Linked DNA regions of Astyanax mexicanus. The protein of the gene in region 2 purifies or fractionates together with the protein of the main gene of each other region. This does not show direct contact. Links are inferred from orthologs where the notes say so. Each region holds a gene or a part of one and is shown on either strand. Other genes may lie near its edges.

Evidence for each region. The genes of interacting proteins can lie anywhere in the genome.
Region 1: the proteins of gars1 (region 2) and gfpt1 fractionate together in Homo sapiens (co-fractionation; 3 studies listed by BioGRID, with this or other methods). This does not show direct contact. The link is inferred for Astyanax mexicanus from reciprocal best matches to the Homo sapiens genes GARS1 and GFPT1.

What each region holds. Positions count from the first base shown.
Region 1 is NC_064419.1:27,191,339-27,198,982, forward strand, and holds the start of gfpt1 (glutamine--fructose-6-phosphate aminotransferase [isomerizing] 1), read right to left. Parts: upstream 3,049-7,644; 5' UTR 2,948-3,048; coding exon 2,941-2,947; intron 1-2,940. Other genes in the region: NFU1 iron-sulfur cluster scaffold homolog, mitochondrial, read right to left, coding at 5,300-5,344, 5,811-5,985, 6,235-6,298, 7,421-7,538.
Region 2 is NC_064408.1:95,367,539-95,375,602, forward strand, and holds the start of gars1 (glycine--tRNA ligase), read left to right. Parts: upstream 1-5,002; 5' UTR 5,003-5,024; coding exon 5,025-5,264; intron 5,265-5,908; coding exon 5,909-6,010; intron 6,011-7,822; coding exon 7,823-7,925; intron 7,926-8,064. Other genes in the region: spag6 (sperm-associated antigen 6), read left to right, coding at 102-307, 760-933, 1,422-1,574, 1,955-2,146, 2,459-2,575, 2,694-2,839, 2,981-3,044. UniProt on the Homo sapiens protein: Catalyzes the ATP-dependent ligation of glycine to the 3'-end of its cognate tRNA, via the formation of an aminoacyl-adenylate intermediate (Gly-AMP).

The DNA of each region.
Region 1 (7,644 bases), on a different chromosome or scaffold from region 2:
ATTTAAGAAACAAAACAGATTTTTCCTGTAGTATGAACAGCCTCTTAATTCAGCACTGTTTCCTTTTAGTCCTTTCATTACTGTTTTTGCTTATGTCTGAATTTTAAGTTGAAGACTTTTTATTCAGTAACTACTACAAATGATTGTAGTAAAGCTATTAAGTAACTCATGCTGTTAGAGTGCAAGGAATTGGTATGGGCCTACAAGCTGGCCCCATACAGAGAATTACAGGAACACATGCAAGTGTTTCCCAATCAAATTTGTTTCCCCAGTCCACTTAAACCACTTATTTAAAACCACTATACATGTGTGTTTGGAATCTGTTGTAGAGCAAACATGTGGCAACTATTGACAATAAAGGTAATTCAGGGGGTTATTTAAGCAATGTCACAGAAGAACCCCTTTTAGTTTTCTAAATAACCATTTTCTGTAAAAAATGTATAAATGTGAAGAAACTTTACATTTGCACAGAATGTTTAAGAAGGTTCTTTACACTTACATTTCTTTTTTACTAACATGGTCCAAAGGTAAAATAAGTACAAGCCTGAAATTGCCTTGTTTGTTTGGAGCAAATTTTGGTCTTGTTGATGGTTTGCGGCAGCTTTTACTTATGCTAGTTTGGTTCAGACCAAACAAAGGTAGGCTATGTTTATATTACAAGTATCTTTGCCCAGTTCCGTTTAGGGCTGTATGCTATTATTTTAGGGCCATATCCGATATTTCAAGGTATTTATGTGATAATATTTTTGGCAATATGACAAAAACTGCAAATAAACAAATATAAAACAGACTGCTTTCAAGAATATCGCTATTAGCACAACAAGGAGGTTTTTTTTATTGTGTCAAAAATGTTTGCAATATTATTGCTTACAATACAACACTCCTCTAGTTCCAATGTATTTTTGCATTAAAAGGTTCACGTTTTTGTGCTTCCTATCTCGTTCATGTCAAAAAAATGTCTGGTTATAATCTCATGTTTAAAAATAGAATTTAAACTACTTTTAAATTAAGTCTCAATCTGAGTGGAAAAGGTCTGGTTTCTGTTGTAAATGTCAGAAAATCTGATATGAGCTGCCTGTTTAAAAGGGACTAAACAAGGCATTTGTTGTTGTATCTATGTACTATGTACCACAGCAGGCAGATTGGCCCAATGTTCTCAACAAATTCAATATGTTTAAGGCTGTTTTATGTTTGTTTCTAATGTGACATACACTCGACAATCAACAGAACACTCCTAAACTGATGCAGCAATTTTTGTTTATATCAGCCTGAAATACTGATACATCCTGATATCTCGGATTAGTATCATCATCTCCACTCAGTACTGTGCTTTCAAGCAGCTGACTTTAAAACCAATGTACTCTTCTTGTCTGTCTTCTGACTCCCACTGGCTGCGTAAGCTAAAGCTGGTCCTAAGATCCATCAAGGAGTAAATCAGGTTCTGCCATTTATCAGGGGCTGAGGCGGGTCCTGGCATTTGTCTACGTCTTATCTGAGGAACCCAATCTAATCAGTGCAGTCTTCCTAAGTCAATGGTCTTTAACCCTTGTAGTGGAGGCACACTGCTCTGTAGATTTTAGGGTTTCCGCCAGCTTTAAAACAAAAACAAACAGACAACTAGCTATGTGGTAATGTAAATAAACAGATATAGAACTGGGTCTGGGATCTTATGAGTTTAAGAGAATTCTAACTAGGTTGATTTGTGGTAATGTAACTACTTAAATACAAACCTGGGTCTGAGGTCATAAGGGTAAAAGAGATTTCTAACTAGCTATGTGTTAATGTAAATAACAAATAAATACAGAATTGGGTCCGAGGTCTTATGGGTTAAAGGTTTCTAACTCCAGATCTGGAAAAAAAAATAAGTGACAACTTAAAAATTATGAGTTTCTTTGATTTTACCAAATAAAAAAACACTTTGAAATATAATTAAGGAGAAGACGGATGATCACAAGCCATCCAACCAAGCTGAACTGCTTACATGTTTGCACCAGGAGTGGCATGAAGTTATTCAAAAGCCTTGTGTAAGACTAGTGGATGAGAACATGCCAAGATGCATAAAAAAATTTGATTAAAATCCAGGGTTATTCCACCAAATATTGGTTTATAAATATAAACTTGTTGTTTTTTTTTTTTTTTTGCAATATTTAGGTCTGAAAGCTGAATGCTCAGCCATTTTCATTTTCTGCAAATAAATGCTCTTAATGACAATATTTTAATTTGGAGAATTGTTGTCCATAGTTTATAGAATAAAACAACAACGTTCATTTTACTCAAACATATTTCTATAAATAGCAAAATAAGAGAAACTGATTCAGAAACTGAAGTGGTCTCTTAATTTTCCCAGAGCTGTAGCTGTGTGGTAATGTGAATAACAAATAAATACAGAAGTGAGTCTGAGGTTTTACAGCTTAAAGATATTGCTAACTAGGTTAGCTATGTGGTAATGTAAATAACAAATAAATACATTTTAAACGAAACCAATTCTCAATATCGAACAGTGAGGAAACCCCTCATTCTAGTCCTACGCAAAGCAGCTGTAATGAAACCGAACCCGGTCTGTGAGAGTCTAAACAGTGACAATCAGTCAGACTAGTTGTTTTAGAGTCTCTAAGCTGCATGTCAATAAAATAATAACACGCCCTAAACGGCAGCAAGTGACACATACACACTAAACTATGCGGCACAGTTAATTCACTACGCTGGTTACTTAGCCGGCTAGTACAGTAGGTAGGTTACAGCCCAAATGTAAATGCTAGCTAGCAGTGCTAACGTTGTGCCTCTCGAGATGTTTAATCTATTTTCTGAGCTATTTTCACAATTACACAGATATATTCTAGTTCCTCTGAACCGTATGAACCTCTTCTACCTACAGACTGCGTGTTAAAAACGCTGAAGTTAAACACAGTAAGAAAAATCTCATGCTCCATTCACACTCACCACACATGTCTTCAGCACCGTTTCCAACTACTGTGGAGTTGAGTTCCGCCTCCGAGTCATTGGGTCTTACACAAGCTCCGCCCCCTCACACTCTACTGGACGAGAGCCCAGGCTGTGCCTACGTACCCGCCTCTGATTGGCGGAACGAGCTGTCAGTCACGCCCAACACCAGGTCTTCGCCTGCGGAGGCCGGTTGGTTCTACGTGGCAGAAGGATGCGTCCATGATGTCGACAATCACCTGCGGACCCGGCGCTCGCGGAGCTTTTACCTTTCGTCGGTTCAGTCAGTAATAGTGATGTAAATAGTGTCGCGTGTGCACAAATGATCCACACCAGGAAATCATGCAAAACAGACCTGCGCAAACTCCAGCGCCGGTACTCTACGTAGAAAAAGACAGCGTACGTAGCTACGCGGGGGTAGATCTGATTGGCTGCTGGCTGAGATACTTAGTGAGTGATGTGTCATCATACTGTCCGGGATGGAGAGGATCAGTAACAGTCATGTGTGTTTATGGTGATTATTACGAATAGTTTATGGAATATTCCGTCAAATCTGTGCCATTTCTGTCCCCATGGAAATTACATGTATAAATGTGCACACACAGTAACTTTAAAATAAATTTTATTATTAAGCATAGCGTCTTGTACATCGAACTAATTACGAAAGTAAGATTAGTAATTAAAAATATTAATAAAAACTACTTAGAACACTGAAAAATAGCATTTGTTACCTGTCCCCACTTTGTAACTATAAACTTTATCATAAAATATAATTAAATAAAATCCTTCGTAGATATAATTTATTTTTGCATTGTTGTGTTACTCCAAATCCCATATATGCTTTACAAGATATTTTACCTTCTACCTTAGATATTGTTTATTTTGATATACACATTTAATATACACAAAATGTGCTTAGTGTCCTTCTATTATTAGTGTCAATCTATTAGCTATTTTTCATGTTTTCATTCATAACTTAGAAAGGTTTCATCCCTAATCAATCCCTGATGATACACTTTATGATTAACTTACAAGCTGCTGTCTCATGACTTTTTGGCCTGTCAGTGTAGAATGGAAAAACTGCAGTGAAGTATATTGTTTCTGTGAAACTGACAATAGCAAAAACATGATTCCTGTTTGGTATTAGTGAATCAGAATATGAAGATATCATGTATCGTGATAATATTGTATTTTGAGATGCCCTGTGATTCCCACCCCTAATGTTAATGTGTATTTGTTTTCTGAATATATTTTGTAATGTACCTTCAGTGTAAGGTATACCATTCTTAAAATTACTTCTTTAATAAAATATAATATAATATAATACTTAAAAAAGTGAAAACATTCATCAATTTTGTCTGAATTTGTCAATTTTATTATTGCTCTTAATACACACATTTTCTACATCTGTACATTGAATTAAAAACAAATATACATGTGGACAGGCCATATCCACTGTTATTTTTGTGCGTCTCGAGTTACTGCAGGGTTGGGTAATATTAGGTGGAACACTGAAAGCATTATAAATATCAGGAGAGCAGAATATTACCATTAAACAAGATGCATTCACCCAACTTAAATATACATATACCTAATACAGTATAATGACAGGAAAAAAAAACTTGCATTGAGCAATGACGCATGTCACACAATTTTCTTTTAAGATTTAGATGCAATTATCTAAAAAAGCACGGATCCCCTGAGCATACTGTCACTGTCGTCACATTCTTCAGAAATTTTACAGGAGAAGGAAAACCCTTTATAAATTGTAATAAAAGTCAGTGTAAAACGATTTTATTCCAAATCAATTTGGGGAATTTCTACAGAACCATTCACTGTGAAATTCCAATACAATGTAAGGAACAACTGTCAGCCCTAATCTCATCCAGACAAACATTGAGCTTCATCACCTGGCGTTTAATAAAACAGATATTTGTCCACTGCTATGCACCGTGATTACACATTGGGCACAACAGCGAGTGGAAATGGAGAAGCTACTGAACACACAATGTGACAAAGCCTAAAAAACCCTCACTGGTCCTCCTGTTTTTTTTCAATTGCAGTCCAGATGCAAAAGTTTTAACACTGAGTAGAAGTGTAAATATTTGTCATGGACGTCACTTTGAGAAACGAATCCCGTCAGTGTAGAGCTTTAGATACACAAGATTTGTTTGTGACAGTGACAATATCTATTTGGCTTTATTACACCCCCCCTCAAAATAGTCAAAATAAACTAAACATGGCAAAATTGAGTTTTAGTCCTCCTCTGACTTAGTTAGATTGTGGTGAGAGAAGTGGCTGCTGGGAACTGTAGGAGACTGGAATGTAGTCCAGATGAAATACTCCTTCTGGCTAACACTCATCTCTGGGCTTCCTGTTCCACATCCTCAACCTCCTCCTTCACCTGATGAAAGGAGCACAGAGATCAATAAGATGAAAATAAGAAATTGATCAGTTTATTACTAACTCTGGCTTGATAGTTTTCCCTTTGCCCTCATCATATCTTTAAAAGGGCCTAATTGCATTATTACACAGTTATACATATTATTGGTTGCAATTATATCAATCCTTGCAATAATTTATGGGAAATTATACTGTCCAAAAATATAGTAGTTGTTGTGACAGGCCTATTTGTTAGCTACATACATGTTGTAGCTCCAAAATAACTAAATGTGTAAACTCCACCTACCAAACATGCCTTAACTCAAACTACATATGGGGTTAATAGAAAACCATGTAAATCTGATTTATTCTTTTAAAAAAAGATATTAAATAATATTAATACAGTATAAATATTGCAAGCTGGTTAGCTTTACATGTGAAACAATAAATGGTCTCCATTAACTTTTCTTTTGTTAAAATTCTCTTACCTGCTCCACACCCTCCACTTCAGGGACGTAGAATTGCAGCATGTTTTGGATGCCATTCTTTAAAGTGACGATGGAGCTGGGGCAGCTGGTGCACGAGCCCTGGAGCTTCAGCTTCACAATACCATCCTCAAACCCGCGATACAGCACATCCCCACCATCCTCCTGCACTGTGGGTCTGAGATGGAAGACATAATTTTGAGTCATTTACCAAAAACATAGTACCAACATGGCATTAATCAGAAGAGTAAACTACATAGACAAAAGTATTTGTCCCAAAGATTTTATACTAGACTTTGGAGCAATGCTTGCACTTTAAGGTAAATTTGCCTCATATAACTGCTTTAAACCTAGATCAAATAAAAAAAAACAGATAAAACAATTGTACTCTGAAGTAAAACAGACAGAGAAATGAGTGTAACAGTACCTAATCCGTGTGTCTAGCAACTCTTTGATCATAGACACGACTTCATCATCATCATCTGAGGGGGCTGAAAAATAAAGTTGTTAAAGTTGTTAATGTTTTCTCTAATAACTGATCCAGACTTTATAGTTGCTGCTGTTACTGTTTTCAGTTGTGTAATGCACTTTTGATCATTTCAGTAGCTAATATAACAGTATTTACAGAAATATTGTCTCACATGAAAATCTACCTCACATGAACTAACAGTTCGCTATGGCTTGAGTAAACTTCCATATAGGCTTCCTTTACTTGTTGAGATAGTATGCATTTATTAAGCAATTTATTCAGATCACTACATGGAATGCAACATGGTGATCTGATGATGTGACCCTTACACCTCGTTTGATGTGTTATGCATTTTAAAATGCTTTGGTTATCTGAGTTACAGTAGCTTTTCTGTCAGCTCCAACCTGTGTAACTAAAGGGTGATTGGCCAATTAGATACTTATGGGTGTACAGGTCTGTCTTTTGTCTTATATGTGCTAAGTGAATGGACATATTTAAATAGTTTGTAGCCCCAGTGCAGTTATGTGCTTATTTGAGTAGCCATGTAAAAGACATACTCTGATTTGAGTATGGTCTAAAAATCAGATTAGGAAATCTGGTAGAGAGATGAAAAGCTTTGTAAACCACATTTCTCAGTCCGTGAATCCTCTTAAACAGAGCATTCTTTGATTTTTCAGTCAGCGTATGTGTTAAACGATTACATAACCCCCCCCCCCCCTTCTCCCAATTTAGCTAGGCTAATTGTCCCACCATTCAGCTACTCAGCTGTATATCCCCCATCACAGGTGATGCCACAACACAAGGACGGTGAAGACTAGCACGTCTCTTTCGACACATGAAGCCAATCACCGTCTTTTTTTCGAACTTGCCGAGTACCATAACAGCGCGCTCGGAGGAAAGTGCAGCGATACATCCGCTCAAAGACGCCTTGGGCTGATCGACATCACCCTAGGACTGATGAAAGTGCACCAAGCTGATGGCAAGCTACATGAGCAGGATTCGAACCAGTGATCTCCCAATCATAGTGGCAGCGCTTAAAACCACTGGACCACTTGTAAACATGTAAACATGTTAATAGGATTACCAAATAACTCCAACGTTCTGCAGCAGTCGGAAGAAGTGCATGTAAATATGAAAACATTACCGGTGTCTGCACTAGGAACTGCATCCTCAGAAACAACAGGAAGTCCAGACGTGAAGAAATCCATAATGGTAGCAAATACATCCGGCTTGATCACCTTCCACTCTGCATCCGAGTTAGTCTGATATCAGCAAAGAGATCTACCGTTAATTATCTGTATTTTGGGATGCATCATAAGTGTTGTTTGGGATGTATCATGGAACACTACTGATGATGCATCCCAATCT
Region 2 (8,064 bases):
ATCATATCATAAAACACACAATTCATAATTAATAATCAAAATTAAAAGTGATTGTTTAGACTGATCATGTAAAGCTCTTTTTATCAATAACTAATTTGCAGAACTGGCTCAGGCTGTGGTGGATGCTGGGGCAGTTCCTCTACTAGTGCTGTGCATCCAGGAGCCTGAGATTGCCTTGAAGAGGATCGCTGCTTCTACTTTGAGTGACATTGCTAAACACTCGCCTGAACTGGCACAAACAGTGGTAGACACAGGAGCCATTGCCCATCTGGCACAGATGACCCTGAACCCGGATGCCAAACTAAAGGTCAGAGCCTCTGCTGTAATCTTTAATAGGAATACTATGTATAGTCAGCGGTAATCAAGTGTAACCCTTGGGCCACTGTCATGCCGTATTTTACTTCTACTTTTACTATGCAATTTGAACCTGTCTACACTTACATTGTGTCAAAATGGACCAATAGAAATGCCACAAAATTACATGGAATAAAAATAGTTTACACTGTACGTAAAAAACATTATAAAAATATATTTTTTAAATACCAACAATTAAACATTGTTAAACTTAAATCATAATAAAATTCAAAAGAATTTACAAACGTAGCGGTAATTGAAAGTTTAGAATCTACACATAAATTCCTTGCTTGTTTGATTGAGGAAAAATTAAGGAAACATTTTGCCATTTTAAGGCAAATGTTGTATGACAAAGGGGGGCCTAGAAGAATTCTTGTCCACTAATTATAGTCTGCTCCTTTACAGAGGCAAGTGTTCTCAGCACTTGGCCAAATCTCAAAGCACTCAGTGGACCTGGCGGAGATGGTGGTGGAGGCTGAGATTTTCCCAGCTGTGCTATCCAGCCTGAAGGACCCAGATGAGTATGTAAAGAAGAATGTGACTACAATGATGCGGGAAATCACAAAGCACACACCTGAGGTACCTTCTGCATACAAAACTGCATACATATTCACTAAATCACTTCATACTGCAGAAATAAGGGCATATGGCTTATTACCAAGAAAAGACATCTTGTTCCCAGGATTTAAACTTATGATCTGCTAAAGATCAGGCAGTTCAACAGTTTGTGCAATTGTGTGTCCAAGAAAGAATGTAAAGAACTTTGGGGAGACTTACTCAGAACAGTTTGTTATATATATTGTAATTTTGCTGCTTCAAAGTGCCACAATTGTCTAACTTTATTCTTGTCAAAAGATAGATCTTAAGTTCAAATCCCAGTACTGCCTCGTTACATTATTCTCAGGAGTCCCCAGTCTCGATACATTGTTGGAATTCTTTTATCTTTACAGTAAGACTTATTTTAACCAGGGTGCAAACATTTTCAAGCCTCTGTAGATACTGTCATGTATTGAATCCAGTAAGGACAAAGGTAATGTGAGTGTATGTGTGTATGTGTTTCTCTTCAGCTATCGCAAATGATTGTGAATGCTGGGGGTGTAGCAGCTGTGATTGACTACCTCGGAGACTCCAGGGGGAACGTGCGCCTGCCTGGGATTATGATGCTGGGCTACATAGCTGCGCACTCTGAGAACCTCGCCATGGCTGTCATTGTTTCTAAGGTGTGTGACAACATCTGAATATTGCTTGTTTTATAAGTCATAAGCTAAACTGCTGTTGGAATTGTCCTTGCAATCAGAAAAATGACACCCGCATTTGGCATATCATTTGCCTGCATGTTTAGAAAAACATAAGCTAAAAATTGGTAAATGCATGATTCAATCTGGTTACCAGTTCTAGATTTAGCTAAAGCTGCTCCAATGATGTTGTAGAACAACAGTAAATAAAAATATACTTTTATTTTATTTTTTCAGTTTTCCATTAAATGTATAAAGAGATCCATAAGATATGTTATGCAATTTTATTTTGGCACTATTGTGAAAGGTAGTATTACACGCTTGTAATAGTTGGTAAGTTTTGTATTCTTATATCTGTCCTCTAGGGGGTGCCACAGTTGGCTATTTGCATGGCAGAGGAATCAGAGGACCACATCAAGGCAGCTACAGCTTGGGCGTTTGGCCAGATTGGGCAACACACACCTGAGCATGCACGAGCTGTGGCAGCAGCAAATGTGCTGCCAAAACTCCTTAATCTGTACCTGGACACACAGAGTTCTGAAGACCTGCAAGTCAAGGTTTGCATGTTCACCAGTACTGATGACAGTTCTGGAAATACCATCTGCATAAATAAATCTGCATAAAATAAAAGTTAACTTTTCTAAGCAATCCGATCAGAGGGATCTGAGTACTGGTATAATACTGCTATCTTGCGGTCAGGGTTTAAACTGAAAAAAATATGTATTAACAACTATTAGCCACCAATCTTTACATGTAAACTGTTCGTTTTTGAAAATTGACAAGTTGACAAGGTTTTTTTTTTTTTTTTACCAGCTGCAGTACCTTACAAAACAACCATGATCACTGCTCTTCTTATTTCCACAATTTAGGCAAAGAAGGCCTTAAAGAATATTCTTCAGAAGTGCACCTACCTTCCTGCACTGGAGCCCCTTCTCTATGAAGCTCCCAGCAACATCCTGAAACATGTCATCTGCCAGTTCAGCAAGGTAGGTGACTGGGACATAACAATCATGTATGCTGCCCAATAATGTTTCTGATTTAAACCAGAATTTGGGAACTTAAATATATGATGGGTCTGTTGTCGGTTGTCTCCATTTCCTGAAGGTCCTTCCACATGACAGTAAAGCACGTCGTTTGTTTGTGACCAGTGGAGGCCTTAAGAAGGTGCAGGAAATCAAAGCAGAACCTGGCTCTGCTCTGCAGGAGCACATCAACGCGATCAACAACTGCTACCCTGAGGAGATAGTCAGGTTAATACAACAAACTTCATTAAATCATATAACAATATAAATCATATAACCTTATTAGAAACCAGTTCAAGTGCAGTAGTGTTATTGAATTATTGAGATTTTTTGTAATATATTTTTTTCTTATCTGTGTTGCTTTAACAGGTACTATTCTCCTGGATACTCAGAAGTCCTGCTGGAGAGGGTAGATAACTATCAGCCTTCTTAAGATAAACTTGTTTTTGCCCCTGGGACCTTGTGGATGTGGAGCACTTTTTAGTTAACTTGTGTGTTTTACTTTATGGAGTATGTAAATGGAACCATATGTGTCAAAAAGAAATAAACTATACACAAACCTGTATGATGTAGAGGTGTATTTAATTAAATCTGGGTCTATTTGTTAATCATATACATTCAACATAAATGCAGTGTTATAATATAAGTACTATTACAACTATCAAGATACCTCTCTGTACTGTTTTTCATAATATGTTCATTTAACAGGTCCGAACCCTAATGAACCTGCTGTCTCAATGAGCACACCAGTGCTCATAATAATATAGACACATATTATAAAATACAAATAATAAAATTATAATACAATAAAATAAAATATTAATCAACAATAATCACCCTTTTCTTACCCAAGACTAAGCTTGTAATAATGGGTAATAAAATCTGAATAAAATAATCTGTGTTAGAAATATTTACAGGTGTATCTTAAGAAATTAGAATGTCGTTGAAAAGTCACTTTATTTTAGTAATTCAGTTCAAAATGTGAAATTCATATATTATATTTGAATGTATTACATGAAGTCCTGCTGGAAAATGAAATCTGCATCACCATAAAAGATGTCAGCCAAGGAAAGCAAAACAATATATATATTTTTTTTACCTGCACCTGTAATTTGTATTATTGGCGTTAGTCCCTTAAAAATAATTGTAATGATCACATCAATATTCCGTGACTAGATCATGGATAAAATCATGATTACAATTTTAAATGCTGGTACTTAAGAGGACAGTAATAATAGTGTATTGTGGTTTACAGTTGGCAGACTAGATACTTTTTTTTTTTTTTACTGTTTTACAATAATATATCAGGATAGTTATAGTAATGGGGCTTAGCAAACCTTAGGTTTAATTCCTAATCTTAAAAAATGAGAACATAACGTAATTTTATTGGGTTATTTTTATTTATTTTATTTATTTTAAAATCACACAATTAGTTTTCATGTAAGAGCGCCGCTCGTACACAGGAACCTCGAATCTGCTGCCGCCGATCCTAATGGCAGCGGCCCGCTCCAATAAGTGCACTAGTTAGGGTTCTAACTAGAGCGCGTGTCTAGCACTTATCACGTGTACACTCTCATATAATAGTTTATACCCATTTTTTTTTTCAAGTGAATTGTGAATTGTGCAGTACGCTGTGTATAAATAATGAAATTTACAAAATCACTTACAATTACAGCAGAGCAAATTCAATCAATTATTATGAATAAAAATACATTTTATTTAATTTTACAAAGTCACATTTAATTAAATTAATTTAAATTAAATAAAATAATCATATCTTTTTAGAATTCAGTATAAGTTGGTGTATTAAACAATAAAATATGTTTTATGATACATTTAAGAATAAAGAATGTCCTTATGTACTTATTATACACCTGTTCGCCTCCAGAGAATGTTTCCTGACAACTCTAACCTATTTTTAGAAATGTAATACACAGGTACATTTATCTGCTTGTTTTGGAAGGGGGTTCACTTTGTAACATTTTCTGTCTCTTTAATTAGACTTCAGACACTTAATAAAAAAGAAAAAAAATTAAGAATGTATTTTTTGCGGATTTAGACCTGCTTAAATGTTAAAAACAATGTTCTTGTTAAAACAGCTACAGGTCACATTCAGAATGTATTGACAGAACCACAAGCAAACTTGTGTAGAGTATCTATAATTAAGACAACATATATTTTTTTAATATTATTATTATTATTATTATTATTATTATTATTATTATTATTATTATTATTATTATTATTATTATTATTATTACTAATTTTAAAGCTGATCCCTGTTCACTAGCTCGGTAGTAAGTATTGGGACGCGGCCTCTGTGTACGTGTCGAAAGTGTGAGCGCGCGGCGGCTCGAGCTCAGGTTTACTCATTTCCTCCGATTTCATCATGCTCTGACTGAGCGCTGCTCTCATGCTGCTGCTGCTGCTGCGGAGAGCGACATCAGCCCTGCGGACCTCCACACAGCACTCAGCCCGCAGAGCCGCCGCGCAGACCCCCCGCTCACCCGCACTCCGCGCCCCGCTCTCCCTCTCAGCCTGCCTGGGCAAGAAACAGAAGACGAGCCAGTGGCTGGAGCTTTCTGAAGGTCAAAACATGGACGGAAACATCGAGGAGATCCTGGCTCCCCTGAGACAGGCGGTGAAAGAGCAGGTAACGATAACGCTACTGCGAAAAATAAAAATACTACAACTGCTAAGCTAGCTAACTATAGTACTCATAGGTGGAGCTGTTATAAAGCACGTTTTCTTAACTGAATAACTAAAATTGCAAATCGATAAAATCTTATTCTTCTCTGGATTGGCCTTTAAGACCAGGATGAATGAATGTAGCAGCTTTTGCTTTTGCTTCGCATGCTAACCTAGCTATAGCTAGCTAATTATTATGGTCAGGAATATCCTAATCAAATGTAGTTAATTTGGTTATATTAGACCCGGATGTGTAACAGGTTAAGCTCACTGCAGTTTAGTGATTGTGCCTGGGTTCAACCTCAGCCTTACAGTGCCACGTTTTGAGCTCATCTGGCTGCTACAGACAGACTGACTGATGGAGGGAGGGGAAAAAGAACAGGGCAGGGCGCTTTCTGTTTTGCTCTCTCTCTCTCTCTTTTTCTTTCTCTCTGTCAGTCTCTCTCTATTTCTATATCTCTCTTTCTCTCTCTCTCTCTCTTTCTCTCTTTCTTACTTTCTTTGGGAGGAAATAGATGAGCTGTAAGGAGATGTGGGGCAGTGGTTGACTTCTGCTATTCCAGCTGTTTCAGTTTCATCCTAGCTAAATGTGCTGCTTCTTCTGCTCAGGGTGAGCTGGTTCGTCAGATGAAATCAGAGAACGCCCCAGATGTGGATGTGACCAAAGCTGTGGCAGAGCTCAAGGCTCGGAAGAGGATACTTGAGGCCAAGGTAAGGACTGATCATCAAGGCTGAGTTTCAGGATGATAATCATTTTGCACAAGTCAGTTGATTTTTTTTTTAACAGCAAGTTGATAAATTGATGTCAGTAAGGTGTAGACACTTTGCCGTGGTTTGGGAGAAGTCCTGAATTAGTTTTGATGTCATAAACATCCCAAAAATCTGCGGAGCGAACCTCTGTTGTTAACTGGAAGCTGCTGGTACACCAGTGCGGTGGTCTACAATAAATAACTTTTTTTCCAACACAGTGGCTTCACCCATGAAGAATCCTATGCTTGAAAAACTTCCCCTTAAAGGTGGAAGGCATTGTCTGTGAAGGCATTATTGTTTCTTTATATGTTCGTTATATGTTTTCTTCTTTTTACTCCTTGTGTTGGAGGTGCACGGTGAATTGTGGCAAACTGAGGGCCACAATGGATACATCAGTTGTGTCTGCTGCATTTTTGTTGCTGTATATGAAGGATTCTTAGTTTTGGAACAGCCTCTTATAACGCTGGGTCAGAGAAAAACATAACATCTAGGATTCAGCCTAAACTATGTAATGCAGCTTGTGTATGTGTGTTTGCTGCGCACATGGATTTAAAGCACATTCCACGTGTCACTTATCATGTAAAAATTTGAATATGATGTTTTAGTCCCGTTTTTATTTTTTCAAGTGAATTGTGCAGTACGCTGTGTATAAATGATGAAATCACTTACATTTACAGCAGAACTTATTCCATCAGTTATTATGAATAAATATACATTTTATTTAATTGTATTAAGTCACATTTAATTTAATTTAATTAAAAATAATATATTTTTAGAATTCAGTAGGTGCACAGTGAAAGTGCAACTATGCAATGCAGCTTGTGTATGTGTGTGTTGCTGCACACATGGGTTTAAAGCAGATTCCACATTCCATGTGGGGTTACATCACAAGTATGTTGAATATGGTTGTCCTCTTGTCTTGAGGGCTGTGGCTCCCAAATACAGTCTAGAGATGTGTGTCAGGAAAACAACTGATTTAATTGAAATGCATCAATTTTCCCAAGAAGAGCGGTCAAATATCCAACCGATGTATGTATCCAACTGTATGTATAATTAAATTCAGATTTACCCAGTTACTTTGGTTTAATGTATTTATGGATACATTATTATGTATATCTGAAAGGGTGGTCTAATTTTACCAATTGAGATTAGTCCTTCTCATTTAGTATCTAATATGCTAAAGATTTGGATTCCCATCTTGGACTGCTTTTCTGTTGCTCACATCTCATTTCATCTGGCTCTTTTGCAGTTCATTTTGGACCAGAGTGTAACAATTTTTTTTCAGTGTTTTGTTGTTGCACAGCATTGCATCCCTTAGCCTCAACAAGTTGGACAAAAATTCAGCGTTTTGCCTCTCTTTTGTTTTTGCCCATTACTGTACAGTACATTGCACAGATAAATCTTACAGTTGTAAGAATATTAGTAATAGTGATGAAAAAAATCCAGACTGCTTCTATAGCCAATGACAGACACAAATTAATATATGCGCTCATTGACTTTCAGCAGTAACACTTGCTCACTGGCTTAATCTTGTGAAGAAAATGAAGTGGCCTGCTTAAAAAGTCTTATGATTTTTTAAGTTCCTCCTACTATCATCAACAGGAGAGATTTTTCCTAGTAGTTTAACTGGGAAATCTTGTTTTAGAGACTGTTGTCACATCATTTTTAGAACATGTGTATTGATGGATAAACCTTTTTTTGTTTTAAACTGGAGTGCCAATTTAAAGGCAACAGAAGGAATGCTTTTATAAAACTGTTTTTATTCTTTTACAGGAACTTTCCCTGCAGCCCAAAGATGATATCGTGGATAGGACTAAAATGGAGGATACGCTGAAGAGACGGTTCTTTTATGACCAAGCCTTTTCCATTTATGGGGGTATGTTTTAACTAATATCAAACAATGTGTAAAGTAAATGTAAGGCTAAACTCAAATCATAATGGATGTGACAATGAGTAGAGATTATGCTATTGCACCTGTTTTTTTTAATGATGGTAACAATCATTTGGTTGTTTTT